Drosophila melanogaster: one gene and its partners. The protein of the gene in region 1 interacts with the protein of each later gene in a pairwise test. Each region holds a gene or a part of one and is shown in the gene's direction. Other genes may lie near its edges.

What was found.
Region 2: the proteins of GstD1 (region 1) and Dus1 interact in a two-hybrid assay, tested with the Drosophila melanogaster proteins (one large-scale study listed by BioGRID).
Region 3: the proteins of GstD1 (region 1) and CG14718 interact in a two-hybrid assay, tested with the Drosophila melanogaster proteins (one large-scale study listed by BioGRID).
Region 4: the proteins of GstD1 (region 1) and hui interact in a two-hybrid assay, tested with the Drosophila melanogaster proteins (one large-scale study listed by BioGRID).

What each region holds. Positions count from the first base shown.
Region 1 is NT_033777.3:12,367,290-12,371,065, reverse strand, and holds GstD1 (glutathione S transferase D1), read left to right. Parts: upstream 1-1,797; 5' UTR 1,798-1,863; intron 1,864-2,472; exon of another isoform or gene 2,473-2,490; 5' UTR 2,491-2,494; coding exon 2,495-3,124; 3' UTR 3,125-3,249; downstream 3,250-3,776. UniProt on the Drosophila melanogaster protein: Conjugation of reduced glutathione to a wide number of exogenous and endogenous hydrophobic electrophiles. Has DDT dehydrochlorinase activity. May be involved in detoxification.
Region 2 is NT_033779.5:268,717-273,511, reverse strand, and holds the start of Dus1 (dihydrouridine synthase 1), read left to right. Parts: upstream 1-1,767; 5' UTR 1,768-1,883; intron 1,884-1,885; exon of another isoform or gene 1,886-2,197; coding exon of another isoform or gene 2,198-2,851; intron 2,852-2,905; coding exon of another isoform or gene 2,906-4,054; intron 4,055-4,122; coding exon of another isoform or gene 4,123-4,320; exon of another isoform or gene 4,321-4,424; intron 4,425-4,795. Other genes in the region: mbm (mushroom body miniature), read left to right, coding at 1-957, 1,006-1,545; CG3345 (uncharacterized protein), read right to left, coding at 2,198-2,851, 2,906-4,054, 4,123-4,320.
Region 3 is NT_033777.3:11,698,802-11,703,225, forward strand, and holds CG14718 (uncharacterized protein), read left to right. Parts: upstream 1-1,812; 5' UTR 1,813-1,944; coding exon 1,945-3,285; 3' UTR 3,286-3,919; downstream 3,920-4,424.
Region 4 is NT_033778.4:14,806,739-14,810,487, forward strand, and holds hui (hase und igel), read left to right. Parts: upstream 1-1,680; 5' UTR 1,681-1,844; coding exon 1,845-1,905; intron 1,906-2,535; coding exon 2,536-2,785; intron 2,786-2,847; coding exon 2,848-3,145; 3' UTR 3,146-3,193; downstream 3,194-3,749. Other genes in the region: kn (knot), read right to left, coding at 112-323.

The sequences.
Region 1 (3,776 bases):
GAAAGATCAGCGCAGCTGTACACAAAGCGAATCACCGGCAAACGGAATCGAGAAAGTAGATGTATGTAGGCTAAATGTGCTCATATGGGAGGCCGGCAGAAGATCTCGATGATGTGGAGGTAAGAGATTATTGGGGCTCTTCGTCCTATCCATTCTCTTTGGCTTTGCTCTTTAAATAGTTTGCGCTTTTCACTTTATTTTCCTGTGACGCACATTTGGCAATGCCGTCCAACTGGTTTTTTTGATCTGCAGTGGCAAACACAGTGACCTTTCTCTACATTTTACGCTACCTTTTGGGCCGGCTTTTTGGTGAATTAACCCAACCAGTTATTGGCGAACTTATACTTACGATCTCGTGTTTCCCATGATTCAGCTGGATTTCGGCATTATGTTCAAATGAGTAACTCTCGGAACTTGGGGTTCGGAATTTTTGATTTCACAATCGTTTTGTGGATTGTTCTCGACGTTAAGAGCGCAATTTGTTTGACGTGTCGCCCACGAAAATGCTCTTTCCATTTTTTCCTACTTGTTATTGAATTTTTTTGCCCGGTCATGCTGATAGTTGGTATTGCGAATTGTGAAACTGATAAAAGCGAATTTGTTTTGGGGAAATTAAATACCCCCAGCGAAGTGTAGCAGGAATATTCAAGTGTTCGCCTTTGATAGTATCAAATACTTCCAAGAAATGAAAGTCTAGTATTCCTTTTCATGTTATATGGTCACAGCAATTACTTATTAAAACCCAAGGCCGTCATAACAAACACAAACAATAAAAGTCGATCGATATATGGACTAAGCCCATCCATATTGTTACATTGAAAATGTGTACCAGTAATTTCGAATTTGCATGTGCCTTTGACTCATCATTTAATCTACTACTATTTGTCTACCATAGCTTGGGCTTACCCATTAAAATTATTACTATGAGTCAAAGTATATTGAATAATTCGAAAAACGGTTATATTTTTATGGTCTTATTAGTACGGTATGAGCCTTTCGCGATTTGCTTGTGTGTTGGAAATACTCGACAACTGTTGCTATATATGTACATATGTACATACATACATATATGTTTGCCTGATATCAATGTTTGCCGGCCGGCTTGAATTCTTATCTGGTTTCTGTTTGCCTGCTTATTTGTTTGTACTTATTTTTTTTTGCATTTTAAAAGAATTTATGTTTTTTCAGGCGCACAGATGTTCATTAGAAATGCAAAATTGTGTTTCAAGCTAATCGATTGCATGCTTATGTGTTTGCTAATCTTAGCAAGTCGATGTGTAAATACCCTACGATTAATAATACCTGTATGGCAGGATTGTATCTTCTTTGTTATCTGTTTGTTAAAATCAGAAATTATAAAGAAATGTAACAAAATTTGTTCTTAAGCGAGTAAAAGGCTTCGTTCCAATGGAGGATCATTAGAAAGTTGCAGCTTTCTTTTGCGGGGGTATGGTGGAGGTGTATGAGGGAACGGATAGAGTGCAACCTCCTCCAGAGCACGCACACACACACTATCAATCGTCTCCACACACCCATGGCCACACAACAGTGTATTAATCACGCCGCTAACGTCACATTTTTGCCCGCCATTAGTGGGTATGTGTGGGCAAGTCAGAATATAATAGAAGACAAAAAAAAAACCCAGGCACGACAACAACTAGCAGCCCCCTCTCTCTCTCTCTGTACCTCTCTCCCCACCTTGCCACGCCCCGCGGGGCGCTTCAAGCTACAACTCTTGTTTGCCGGCATTGTGGCGACCACAGCCGGCCCCTATAAAAGTGGGCTCGCTCTTCGAATTCCGTTCAGTGCTACTTTTCATTTGATACAGTGTACATCGCGAGTTTCACAACAGAAGAAAAAAATGTAAGTTCCCCACAGCAATTTCTATATATATTGTGTTTTGTGATTGTGTGCCTGTGTTTGGTCAAAAATAAAAGGAAATATTGGCAGCATGGAAAATTACCAACATTTGAACGTATTATAGCCCCGATATGACATCATAGCCAAGTGAACTTCTGTAATGGCGGCCCAATTAAAGTCCGCTTTTGCTGAACTTGTAATTATAGAGCGCGTCTAATTGTGGCATATCTTTCTAGCATCCAGATCTATTCTGTTTGCATGCCATATGGATAATGTGTATAATACAGAAGCAATTTGGGTCTCAAGAAGGGGGAGATTGTTAATTTAAATATGAATGCGACGCTTGTGGATATGCTTGAAAAAGTTTGGTGCTCACATCTAAATTTGAAAAGAAGTTGGAGATTTGTTCACTCCAATCAAATATGGCGGACTCACAATTGTTTTCAGTTTCTTTTCAACTTGATTCTTCTTCCATTTAAAACCCAAATTAGAAATACAAATGAATGCCCTAAGCTTTTAAATAACCGTTGGTTAGAAATTAGCGAAGATAATAATATTTCTTAACAAGTTGGCTACAAATTATTTATTGCGAGCACTGTAACTAAATGATAGTTCTTCGAACTTCTACAGTAAAATGGTTGACTTCTACTACCTGCCCGGCTCCTCCCCCTGCCGCTCCGTGATCATGACCGCCAAGGCCGTGGGCGTCGAGCTGAACAAGAAGCTGCTCAACCTGCAGGCCGGTGAGCACCTGAAGCCGGAGTTCCTGAAGATCAATCCCCAGCACACCATTCCCACGCTGGTGGACAACGGATTCGCGCTGTGGGAGTCCCGCGCCATCCAGGTGTATTTGGTGGAGAAGTACGGCAAGACCGACTCCCTGTACCCTAAGTGCCCCAAGAAGCGCGCCGTGATCAATCAGCGCCTGTACTTCGACATGGGAACGCTGTACCAGAGCTTCGCCAACTACTACTACCCACAGGTGTTCGCCAAGGCGCCCGCCGATCCAGAGGCCTTCAAGAAGATCGAGGCCGCCTTCGAGTTCCTGAACACCTTCCTGGAGGGACAGGACTACGCCGCCGGTGACTCCCTTACCGTAGCCGACATTGCCCTGGTGGCAACCGTGTCCACATTCGAGGTGGCCAAATTCGAGATCAGCAAGTACGCCAATGTGAACAGGTGGTACGAGAACGCCAAGAAGGTGACTCCCGGATGGGAGGAGAACTGGGCCGGATGCCTGGAGTTCAAGAAGTACTTCGAATAAGCCTGATATTCACGTTTTTATACCCGTACATATGATGTAGTATTTATATTCACGTTCACAAACAACAATTCCAAATTCGCCTGTCTCCAAAGACAATAAATAAGTGTTCTTTTTTTTGAATGCACAAAATACAAATGAGTTTGTTTTTAGATGGGTGTACATTTACATATATTACTATGTGTATGTGGATAGTGGATATTGTGGATAGGGACTGCAATTGAATAAGTGGGCTCTCTTGATGCTCGTTATTTTCTCTTTGATGCCAGGGGTGATTCTCTTTCCTCTTTTGCTAAATCTCTCCGAATCGAGAGGCAAACAAAAAAAGATAATAAAAGATAGAATATTTTCGCGATGCTCGTTAGTTTTATGTGGTGAAGGCCTCAAAAAAGAAGCTTGAAAATCTGTAAGGAAAAAGTGAGAAATTATCAGACTTAAATTCATTGGTGAAATAGATTAGAAACTTAGAGTGAATTTCGTTTTGGTTCTGAAATTTTCATCAGAAAGGCAGCTCTTGTAATTTCTTGTTCTTCAAAAAGCTTTTAACGGTAGATAACAAAGTGGAAAATTACCAAGTTAAATTATTCATTTAAAAGGAAGCAAATCTCGACATATTTTATATATTATGGGCACCATTTTTAATAAAAACACAGTT
Region 2 (4,795 bases), on another chromosome or scaffold:
AGCCAAAATCGCGCCGCCAATGGAAACTGGCCAGACGCTGGATCGGAAGGTGGGCAGAATGGAAACGCGTTTAACAAGTTCAGAGATCCCCAACAGGAGCTGGATAATCATCAGCCAAACAAGAGAGGGGGCCGAAGAAATAGAGGCGGTGGCGGAGGAGGTGGTGGTTGGGGTGGCAGGCGAGGGAACCGCGGCAGAGATTCCAATAGGCGTGGTGGCCGTAACAACTCGTGGCAACCTAAGGATCAGCATGTTAGTCCTGGCCAAAGTAACATGCTGTACTTCGATAATGTGGGGGACTTTACCGAAGACCCACCTCTGCCTCGATCCTCGCCTGCTCCCTCCTCTCTCAGACAGGAGAGCCTGCCACCTGTTACTTTCGCTGCGGACTTGACGCCACCACCACCTGTATCTGTTGCACCACCTGATGTGGCTGTTACGCCAGAAGAACCTACTGTGCCGCTAATCAATATCAAGAAGGAGAAAGAAATGGAGCACAAGTCAAAAATAAAGCAATTTGTCAAAGCGGAGCCCAAATCTCCTAAAAAGAAGAAGGTTAACTCCTCTAGGTCGTCATCTACTTCGGGAGAGGAGTCTGAACCCGAACCAGGGGAAATGGTAGTCAACACTAAGGCAGTGGTGGTGCCGTCCCCAAAAGCGAAGGCCATCAAAACACCTGTAGCATCAACTCCGAAACCAAAGGCTGTAAAACCAGTTTCGTCCTCCGACTCCTCAACTTCGGACAGCGACACCGATGATGAACAGAGTCATCCGCCGGCAAAGAGTAAAAAGATGGAAAAGAACACCGAGGAGGATGTTGTCTGCATGGGCTCTCAGGAGCGCCAGTTTACCATTACCGATGAGGAGGAAAGCACCGAACCTGAAGACGACAAGAAGGCCAGAAAGCAAAAAAACAAGGGTAAAACCGTGGATGTGTGTGGCATATGCGACAAGAAGGTAAATATTTTAAAAGAATGTTACCCAATTTAAAAAAATCTCTTCCAGGGCCACACCTCCTTCCAGTGTCAGATGATATGTCGTAATTGCTCCGGTAGTTATCATGGTCTCAAAAACTGTCCAAACCCGCCCAATCTAAATATTGCCATCCAGTCGTTTGTGGAGTTTGCCATGCAGCAAATGACTGCCTTTCATTGCGAGCAAGGATTTGGATTTCCTGCTGGCACAGTCACAGCTCCAGTTTCAGCAAAACCCAAAAAGGACAAAAAGGCGTCAATAAAAAAGATAAAGAAGTCTTCACAGAAAAGGATGAAGGTGGAGCCGAAAGATCATGACGAAGAAGATGACGAGGAAGATGACGACGAAGATGAAGATGACAGCAGCGAGAGCGATGACTCGGAGTCCAGCGAAGAGCCTCACCCAGCTCCTGTGTCCAAACAGAAGCGGAAACGAGGCACCAAAGCCTCCGTATCGGCCGCAGCCAGTCTACCTCCTCAAGTGTTTCCATTTCCCCTTCTAGGCGCCCCGGGCGCCCCTTTTAACTCCATGATGTATTCTTATAGAGCTCCGTTTAATTTTTCTAAATAGTTATAGCGTGAGTTAGTTGTAAAGGAACGTGAAAGATAAATACATTTTCAATACCAATGGATTTAGTTCTTTCATTTTAATATTTACGGAATTTAGGAATTACGCCTCTGTTGTTTAAAACGAGAATGAAGTTGAATTAATTTTTGTACAATACATACCGGGGAATAATATCGATAACCAGGGCAGACCTATTTATCGAAATGTATCAGCCGACGCAGCCCTGGTTTTGTGTTTTGCCAGCTGTTGCTTCCACGCTTTTGAATAAAAAATCAAATTAATAGTGTTTACTAGGAAAAACGTATGAAACTCAGTGAAAAAACTTTGCAAAAAACTTTTGGGTAAGTGTATTTACCTAAATTTATTGGTTTTCTACGATTAAATCTCAAGAGCTTTGAGTTTTTAACTAAAGGATCCAGGTGTCTGATTTTTAAAGTTATACTCAACTTATTTATAAGGAAGCATTTTAAACGATAAAAGAAAACATAGTACATAAATTTAGGACATCATATTGAAAATGAATATTCCTGGACTCTGAAGTATGTAAGTGCCTCGGAAACGAAATATACAAGTAATTTTTAGGGCTACTTCCCGCCAGAGCTAAGGCATCCTGCTTTAAGATCAATTTTCCTTGCCCTGTCTGCTTGACAGGATCCTAGGGTATGCAGAGAGCCAGGGTCTCGCGTTCCTGCTCGGTGCCGCAGGACACTGGGTGATTCTGGCCCCGGGGATCGATGCCTGGCTTGAGCATCGTCTGCTGCAGCTCCCAGATGATTTCACACGACTGGACGCTCACGGCCAGCTTAAGCACCGACTGATAGTTGAGCGGATTAACCGCATAGCTGAGGATACCCCTGGCAATCTGCTCGAACAAATAGTTCCTGTCAAGCAGAAGGAGCTCCTCTCGTACCTCCATCATACGGTTTTCAAAGTGGCACTGAATCGCTGCAAATACCAGCTTGTCCAGACCCACCAATAGATCCCGCTTAAACTTCACCAGGTAGTGCTCTATGAACACGATCTGGTTGCGATTTAGATGCGGCAGGCGCACCTTGTCCTGTATTACCTGTTCGCCGATCTGGCTGACAACCAGAGAGGCTAATGATCCCGCCGGAGTGGCCCGACGTTCGCTGCACGGGCGGACGTCCACGAACGGATGAATCTCGTAGCTGCCCACGCCAATGGTGCTGGCTACACCGCTAAATGATACATGGGAGGCGCGCGAGTGGTTTTTCGGCTGTTTGGCCATCGACGGAGGCACTTCCATGGCTTTGTGGTCTCTGGCGAATCCAATGATCTGATAAGCTTTCTGCAGGCGGAATGAATTAGTGGTATGTCAAGAGGGACTGCTATTAACACTTACGTAGTGCACATATTTCTTTGCATCGCAGACAAAATCCTTAATGCGCGAGATCAGCACCTGCAAGGCACACTCATCCTCGCTGAGATCGTCGTTTAAACCAGAAATTATGTAGTCCAGTATATATTGTGCCGCCTTATAGATGGGGTCGTCTGGTGCGAAGCTGAGAGCGGTCTGACCCTCCATGGCAATGGCTGCATTCAAGGCGTAACAAAGATCACTGTCTAACAATCCCTCAAAGGTGGCCTGATACTCATCGCAGAATGATGGCTTGCGTTCCTGAAGTGTCGACTTCTTCTTCTTGCGGCGCTTTCTTTTGGGCTGACGAGCAGTGATGGCCTTTTGAGCTCTTTCCTTAATCTCGTCCTGAATCCGTTGCCACTTTTCTCTGTAATGAGCCTTGTGCCTGTCTATAAACGCCTCTCGCTCTTTTTCCACCTCCTGCAGGAGGTATTCGATCCTACGCTGATTAGCAATTCGCTCATCAAGTCGCTTCCTCCACGACTGAATCTGGTGCTCAGTGTTCTTTACCAGCCGTTGTTTCCTCAGGATTCGCATGTTTTTGTTGAACCGATCCTTTTTGAACTGGAAGAGCTTCTTCTGTTTGATCAATAGCTTTCTCATCAAATCCTGGCACATGCTTATGTGGGCAGCTACACGCATGTTTGTCAGCATCTTGCGGTGCTCCAGCAACATATTCTGCATGGTGGCCAGGTTCTCTAAGCGCTTAAACTTCTCATATGTGATATTCAGCAGATGGACCTTTCTTTCGTGGCGTTCCTGCTCCTGTAGTTTCTTTCTGGCAAGAACCTCCTCAGTGCACTGGTGACGGGCTGCGAGATTCTGGTGATCCTTTTTTGTGATGGACTCCGCGTTGGCGATCAGCATTCGATCATATTGCTCCGACTCGCGCCGCTTGTATGCCTGCAAAATGTAGTACAACTGCGATTTGTGCAGCTCCTGGCGATGCTGATTGAAGTCCTTCAGATTGCATATTACATCGTTGTCCTGCGTTATCTCACCGTTTTCCCTCAACCGCTTCAGATTACGCTCATTGGAGTAGAACGTCTTTAGGTTGGAGTCGTGTAGCGGATTGTACTCCGGGATGTGTTCGGTAACGGAACACTCAAACTCCTGTTTACCGCTCTTGAACTGGTGGATATGTATGAATGATGATGATAAAGTAAGGTTCTAGCTGATTTTCTACTGGTAGCACTTACGTCCTGTCCGATCTTGTTCTTGGAGAATATGACCTGATTGCCGGGACATTTGAGCATTGGCAGCTTGCAATTAAGAGGGATCAGCTCCCATCCGGGTAGACTGTTGATGGGTAGTCCAGTCTTGTAGGAGATCATCTTTAGCAGGGCCGGGTTTCCGGACACCTTATTTCGCCGCGGCAGCGACAAAATATCGATCATCTTGTCGCTCTAAACTTACAGTAGCCTAAATTATTTGTGCTTAACATTTACTCTCTGAGCGTTCCAAGAAAACTAATTTCGAACAGTGCCTTATGAAAATGTAGTAGCCCCGCCTACTTTAACAATATTCTATACTTTTTCCCTGCCGATTGTATATTGACTTTAGTCAATAGTTTGCAATATAAAATATATATATTCTTAAGCAGTCTCAACAACCGTTTTATAGCTATCTGCATGAATCTGTGGTCCCATCCTAAGAGGCCGAATCGGGATCGAAGCTGTCATTACCCTGGCTCCAGCAGATTCCAGGGCGTTAGTTCGGCTTACATAAATCCTCGGTTGACTATCCTCCTCAATATTTCGCTGTCTCTATCCGGGCTTATGTTCCACCCGCTTTTTCCGACCGCTGACCCAGTTTGGCGTCCGTGGATGATTCTAGATGCGGGCATCTCGGGCATAAATATTTACCAATCGT
Region 3 (4,424 bases), 670 kb from region 1:
ATGAATATTGATTTTCAACGCCCCCCTCCATTAATTCGACTTTGTGCGGGATGCAGATACTTCATACTTCATTGGCAGATATGTAGGTGGATAGGTGTTTTCGATACCCAATGCGCACCTGCACCTTCCGATTCGTGTCAGTTTATTCAGGTAGATTGCTGAGCTGAGCTGAGCTGAGCTGTGCTGCGTGTTTACTCTGCTCCAGCAGGCAGCCAATTCATTAGCTGTTCCTACTTCGCCTTTGCTGCAAATGGAAGGAAAGACAACATGAATGCTGCACACAGTGCGTGTGCACCGAGAGATGCTGATGAAGAGTCATCCCTTTTGGCCACACCATAGAATAACCGAACGCAGCGTAGTCATACATATACCAGCTTATATTCCGGGCCAATTGCTTTGCTGCGCTTTTGTCTTTTCAATTACGGACGAGCTTCAAAGTCAAACTTTTGTGCAATTATACTGGAAGACAATTTGCCCTGTCTCGATTTTTATGAGCGCACAAAAAGTTTTCCACCAACGGAATAGGAACTTTTCCCCGGCAACAGTTTCCATTTCGCTGTTGTTTTCCCTTCAAGACAGTTGATTTTTAATTTCGTGTCGGCGGTTCCCAGCTTCATTACTTCATTTCAACGGGGGAAATATTTGACGGGTTAAAGCAAAACTTTGCCGCTCTGAAGTAAAGCTGCTGCTGTTGAAGATGCTGACCCTCCTCCTTTCTTGGAAATGGACACCACAGCAGCGGGGGCTGCTAATGAAACAGGAGCTTCCGTACAGGACACCGGATCCGAGAACCCGGAATCTGATGATAAGGTCAGCGGACTTGGTCGTAAAGAGGCGGCGGCCATAAAAGCCAATTGCTGGTGAAAATGTTGTTTCCTTTTTTTTTCCCCCGAACCGAGCTGGCGACAAACGTGGCACTTTCGTTTATCAGGGTGGCCGGCCTTGAGTTCGGGTTCGGGATATTAATAAACATGTCTTCAGAGTCCACGCTCCGTTGGCAGGACATTATTCTTGACTGCCCTCCAATTCGGGATCCTTTGTGGGGTTAATGTGGTCGCTCATTAGTGGGGTAATTGGCAGCTAATTGGCTTGATGAGTACCAGTCATCTTGATTCATCGTGATTGGCCCGGCCATGGATGAGTCTTGTCTTCGAAAAATATGAACTTAAGTTTCAGATTCCTATGGGAGTTCTACTCGAAGCTTTTAAATTGATATCAGGTACTTTTCTGCGCCATCTCACGCTGCGAAAATGTAATCAAAGTTTGCTGATTAAAGTGAAAATGTGCAGAAATTATGAATCAATTTTCCGAAGACGACGACAAGCGAAGTGCAAAGTCATCAGTGAGCTGCGAAAGTGGCATCCAGAGTTTTAGCCGCCAATCACGGAAATTTGCATAGTTCTTCGCGCTTTTAACTATGGACTACGGATGGAAAAACCAGGTCAAATCCCTTGAAAGGTGTGGACGTAAAAGTGCCAGCCATTTCGATGTCCATATTGCATTTTTACTTTGGCTATTAATACATTTTCACTCAGTAAATTCCACATTATTGAATTAAATTAATCCTGCCGCTGTCGATTTTATTTTAAATATATTCATTGGCAACAAACGGTTGATATGTTGGTTTTTGTGTGCAGCAATGATATTATTAATACTTCGGATTATATTGTTTTGATGTGGATAAACACATCACCAACATTTTTTCGAGTCAAAAGTAATGAAATTAAATTGGCTTGCCATTTGATTGAATTGGAAAAATATGGCTGCCAAGTAGGCTACAACACAATCTATCAAAGAAACTTAGATCCGGAACTCAGTTCATTTTTATACTCCTAGTGTCTGGATGTTATCAAAGATTTCAGTAGTTTTTAAAGGAATCGGTTCGTGTTTGATCAGCAGTAAAGGCCACACAACGAGGAGTTTTACGTATATTTTTTACCAACCATGGATAGCACGTCAGCCAGCGTAGTGTATACGAATTCTTTTTACGCTCCAAATTACTCGGACACCCAGCAGCCACAGCCACAGCTGCAGACTCAGCAACAGATGTTCCATGCCAACTACATCGTCGGAACCACATTGGGTTCTGGATTGGGATTTAATTTTGCACCAGCCCCCATTCCCCAGGCGAGTGCCGCTTCCGGTTTGAGTCCCAGAGGCATGTACAGTGATCTCTACCGCTACGAGGATGGAAGCGGCGATGCCAGCGGTTCCTTGCTTCTGGTCCAAGAGGATGACCACTTCTGTGGTGCAGAGGCGGACCAGCAGTTGGTGGCCAGCACGTCGTCCTCATGCCCGATGGCGAGTTCAGGCGAGTCCGTGAGCATTGACACAGAGCAGGAGGCGGAACGGGATCTTCAGATGAACCAATGTGAGACGCTGGAGCGGGAAGAGCTGAATGGAGATATAGGGGAAATGGGGGAAATGGAGGAGCTTGCAGAGGAGGTTAATGGCGAGCAGAGGCCGCCGCTGTTACCCTGCATGGGTGGCAACACATCCTACATGGTGTTCCCGCGCACCGCCGCCGACTACATGCCCCGCCTGGCGCTCCCGCGGCATAGGCCCTATATAAGCATCGGTCAGGAGCAGTACGTGATCCAGGCGGAAACTGTCTTCGTGCTGGGCATGCGCCTCAATGTGACCAAGAACGACATCATCCTGTTCTTCGGCAAAGTGGGCGTTATCAAGATGGACGAGTCGACCAACAAGCCGAAGATCTTCGTCTACAAGAACAAGATAACGGGGCGCTCCAAGGGTGAGGCCACTATAACCTATGTGAGTCCATTCTCTGCACAGGCGGCGATTAGTTGTCTGAGTGGGGCCAAGTTCATGGGACAGGTGATCACCGTTCTGCCCGCCTACCTATCCACCCGGAGGGGCAGTGTCCGGTACAGTTATCCGCGAGAGCTTAATGCGCCGGAGCACCAACGTCGCCAGCGGGCAATGAAATGGAAGCCAGCCATCGACAATTGGGTGTGCATGCTCTGCCGGAACAGCAACTTCGTCTGGCGTTCCAGCTGCAACAGATGCCAGGCGGACAAGGTGGTCGCTCCTCAGAATAACGAGGGAAGTTCCTGGGCGGGATCACGCGAAGAGGACGGTGCCCCTCGTCGTTGGCGGCCATACAGGAACGACTGGCTGTGCAAGATTTGCTATAATATGAATTTCTGGTACCGAGCGAAGTGCAATCGTTGCCACGCCCTGCGTTCCGATGAAATGAAGAGCTCCGAGTCGACGGAGGAAGATACCTGGGAGCTGGTTCTGAATCCGCCCATTGCAGAGTAGAAACAGTCCAGTCCACCTCGTTCTGTCTGTGTCTGTGTCTGTATCTATACGTGTTATCTGTTTTGTGTATCCGCATCTTTTTGTACGAAGGACACTTCTGCCTTCTGCATCCTGCTCCTTCCGGACTTCTAAAAATTTCAAGTGATTGGAACGCGAACTGCGTCGTGATATCCAGATGCAACTTCAATTGAATTGAATCGATTCGATGCGATGCCCATGAGCTTGTGAGCCCCATCCAAGAACAGCAAGAGCCAAGAACAAAAGACACCTAAATTCCTGTTAATGCCCGTCTTAGAAAAAGGCGTTTGAATGCAATGCCGCCACCATATACCCGCCGAACCAGTCTTTGTCCCCAGAGCAGAGATCCTCAGATTGCGGGACAATGCAACTTGCTGAATGGTAATCCACTTAATCCGGGTAACTGAATATTTTACCCAGGCACAAAAGGCAACCGGACCCACCTGGCCAGCTCTAAACGTTTAATGAATTTATTTACTTTCCCGACGCGTGCAGTCAGTGGCTCAGTGGCTCATTGGCTCTGCGGAACTGCACTGTAAATCGAAATATTATATTCAATGAAGTCTAAATTGTTTAATAAAATTAATCTTCTATTCATTTATTTATAGAAAGGGTGAACTCGTGGCTTTAAACTATCACAATGAAATTTCAAAATTTCTGAATCCCCCACAGCAAATCCTTGACTCAGATTGTTTTCTGTGTGCAGTGGCATCAAGCCACTTGAATCCATGTCCCACAAGTCGCTCGCCAGCCCCATCCTCCTACTCCTCCTTTCTATCTACCTCGTCCTTTTCTGTCATGTGATTTAATCAAACTTTGCGTCAGCCGAATCTGTGCCACAACAGCTTGGCTGGTTGGTAGATGGTGCGGCTGGTGAGTTGCTCTTTTGGCTGCACCCGCAGTTGCGGCTGCCCTCGTCTGCCGCATGCCACGCCCCCCTGCTCCATTCACCAGTTCACCAGAGGCGGCGCCTGGCAGACTTTGTGTTGTGCATTTACTTTGCACTTTCTTCCACGCGAGCGGACAAGGCACCTGGTGGGAGCTGTGGAGTGTGGAGTCCGGAGTCCGGAGTCCATCGTCCCTAGTCCATAGTCCATAGTCGGTTGTGCTTGGTCTGCCGC
Region 4 (3,749 bases), on another chromosome or scaffold:
CGGAGCAGAGACAAAAGTCTGTGTGTGAATGAAATATATTATTTTGCTTTTTACCCGCCCTGCTCTTTCATTTTTTAACACATTTTGTAATTTCAACACGTTGCCACGTACCGCAAAAGTTTCTTCCACTCCAAAATGTCCACCAATTGCAATGCCGCCTGTCCACCACTCGGACTCGGACTTGGATCTGGACTCGGATGATTAATGGTTCCGGGTATTCCGGGACAGGCTCCGAGTTGGCTGGGCCAAATAATAAATCGTTCAAATCGGCTGGGGATTATTTTTCCTAGTAGGCGGCGGTCAGCATTTTGCTCTGTCACCATTTTTGCGAGAAAAAGAATGGAATTTTTCCTTGACTTTTTCGTATTCAATATTTGTACATATTTTTGCCAACGAACGTGTGCGAAATTCAAAAATACTTCTGCACAACAAATGGCAACAAATTTGTGGATTTCAATTAGATTAATATAAATCTAAGGAATTGAATTTTTTCATGTGTTCAAAAGAAAAAAAACGGAATTAAGGTGGTAGATTGGCTTAAGTAGTGCGTGAAAAATTGGTAATATTTTACTGAAAAAAGTACATATGTCTATTTAATTGTACTTGTTAGAAATACCCTACTTCTATCAGCAAAACGTGCAAAATGTGTATATGCAATATAATTTGTGTTGCACAACTTGTCTTCAATTATTTCTTGATTGATCAAAGCCTTAGATTTATTTTAGGCAATTAAAAACAATAATCCCCAAATAACCGGTTAATTGAAAGGATTTCCTGGAATATACATATATGATAATGTAAAATTAAATAACAAAATTTGTTTTCATTTCGTCGAGCAAGATCAATCGAAAATCCCATCAAAACCAGTTTTGTTTCAAACAGATGGAGCGGTAAAACCGAGCGAGGCATAATATTATTAAAATTCACAAAATATTATAATTAGTGGACGCATGCCAGCCATTAAACAAATGAGTATATATAGTTTAGCTTTATGATCGGCAATGTATGTATAATGCATAATATTTCTCTGAAACTCCGTTTGTTAGGTGTTGGCCACGTTGTAATCAGGTTATTGCCCCAAGCCCAAGAGAAGAAGTTCGAGAAGTTCTTTATTGCCAAAAACACGAATCGGGTCAAAAGCAGAGCTCAAGGCGCAGACTGGGTACAAAAAAAGTACAATAAGAAAAAGCGAGGGCACTTGGCCAATTTACACGAGCTGGCCAAAACAGTTTGGCGTTCGAATATATAATGCGAAATACAAATAAAGTGAAAACAAACAGAACAGAAATTCCCCGTTGGCGCTTCGCTGCTTCGTCATGTGTTTATTTCCCATAATCATTAACTTTTTGGGTGGATTTATATGTGAGATAAACTCTGCTGCAGAGAGGGGAAATTAACTGAGAGATGTGATAGTATTTAACCTTATGAATCATTGAGCCTAACTTTACGTTTATGAGCCACAGCCAGAGGTTTTAAGAAACTTTAAATGCCTGCCTCTTGTTTTTTTTTCTGTATTTGTTTATTGTTCAGTCTACCTACCGGTGGAGTTATTTGCCCAACTCTTCTGCCTGTTTGACGGCTTCTGCTTGTTCTTCCAGCTTTAGATGATAATGATGTAGATGGTTCGCACTGCGTCAGCATTCGAAATTTCCATATATAAGCGCTAGGGAGCCGCACCGCGAGCTTAGTCGTTTTGGAACTTTTCACGCGTTCGCTGCCTCAGTCTTTCGTTTCGTCTTTGTGAGTGCTTAACCGCAGATAGGCCCCTCTGCATACCCCTAACCGCTGAATTAACCCTACTAAGTGACGAAGTGTGTGTTCTTACAGATCCATACCGCTTCACAATGAAGTACGCTGTGATTGCCATCGCTTTGTTTGCGATTACTACCGCTTCGGCCTCTTCCGGTGAGCAAAAAAGCAAATTTGAGTATAATTTGAGGAGAGCTTAAGCCGGATTGTGCACTTACATCATCGCTAGTCGGAGCTGCTATCGTGTTTATTATTAATTGAATTAACAAGTCGGTCGACGGGTGCTAGTATGTTAATAATACCCAAAAACCTATCGAACCCATCCGGAAACCCAAACTGGTTTGTGAAATTCGCGTAGCTCATTAACTTTGCGACAATGTTTGTCCAGCAAAACTTTCCGCACAACAAATTCGCTTTTTATTACGATTCCTAAAATATGGCTATTCAAAATCAGCATTACGTTTGATTATTCACGCGATCGCTGAGTGGACAAACTTTCACACTCAAAAAAGAAATTGCCATTGTTGAATGTTTGAGATTTATAAGCATACTTTTGGGATTAGCATTATCATAAAAAACTTGGAATAAATCTGCATGGTATATATGCTAAGTATATGTAATTATTCAAAGGTTTTCATAATATTAAAAATAAATTCAATAGTAAAAGTTCATAAAATATTTAATCGTGGTAAATAAGGGCGAGATGTGAACGAAATCTAAGCTTTAAAGCTATATTCATAGATTTCAGATACTTATCGCTGAATTCATTGCTCTTTATTCATACAGCTGGCCAGTTTCTGCCCCGTGCCTTCTTCACCTTGGACTCGGAGGGCCACCAGTCGAATGTCCATCCCGTGAATGCCCATCTCCTGAGGCGTCTGCGTCGTCAGTCCAGTTCGTCTTCCTCGTCATCATCCTCCTCGTCCTCCAGTGGAGGAAACGTCTTCACCTACGCCTCACACAGCGTTCAGAATGCCGATGGCTCCGGTCATTCTGGCTCCTCTTACACCCAGCAGGCCGCTGCTCCAGTGCTTGGGTGAGTTAACTGGAAAATGAGGACTTCTATTGATGATCACTAATGATCGTTTTAATTTCCAGTGGTGTGTCCTTTGATGAGCGTTTCGGCGAGAGCTCCTTAACTGGAGGCGACAACTATTATCCCACCTACAATGGCTACACCAGCGCAGCCTCCATCAGCAGCAACAGCGGAGTAGGAAGCACCGGTAGCTATCAGCACATCTCCGGAGTTGGACCCATTCCCGCCACCCAAATCCAGCAGACCGTGGCCGTTGTCGATGCCAGTGGCAACCAGAAGGTGACCAACATCCAGGGTGCCACCGATTCCAACGGCGTTCTCAATATCAAGAAGACCGAATCCACTTACTCATCCAAATAGAACATAGGTTTTTTTTCGAGTGTAAACTTTAATAAATTACAGTAAATTAACTGACACGGTGCCTTCTTAACAGGATATTTGTTATGAACTCAGAAATAAGAGCTCGCAAAGAACTTTGCTTTTTTCGCTTGCCATTTGGTTTGTGGGATTAATTGCTTCCAATTGGGCGCACTGCCACGCCCCTTGCAGATGTCGCAGTGTATTCATTGCGGTTTCCGCATCTGAAGTGTTCTTTTTTTGTTTTGCCCACTCTAGATGATTGCATCCCACATACCATATCTTAAAAGTTCCATCCTGTAACCTGCATCTGCATCCTATATCCTTCATCCTCTTTCACTTCGCAGCAAAAAGTGATGGATGTTTCGAATGAACCAGGGGCGTACCAGGGTTTCGGTTCAAGGGGATCAATACGAATATGCACAATGTAGTCAGTAGAGTTAAAGAATCGAAAGAAAATAATTAAAGATGTTGCCTTTTAAAAACCCTTTAACCATCACAAAAGACAAAACAAGTTACAAAACATTAGTAGCACTTCCGAAATGTTTACTTGACTTATAGGAAATTTTCAATAATGTTAGTATATTTCAGAATTTCATTATACCTT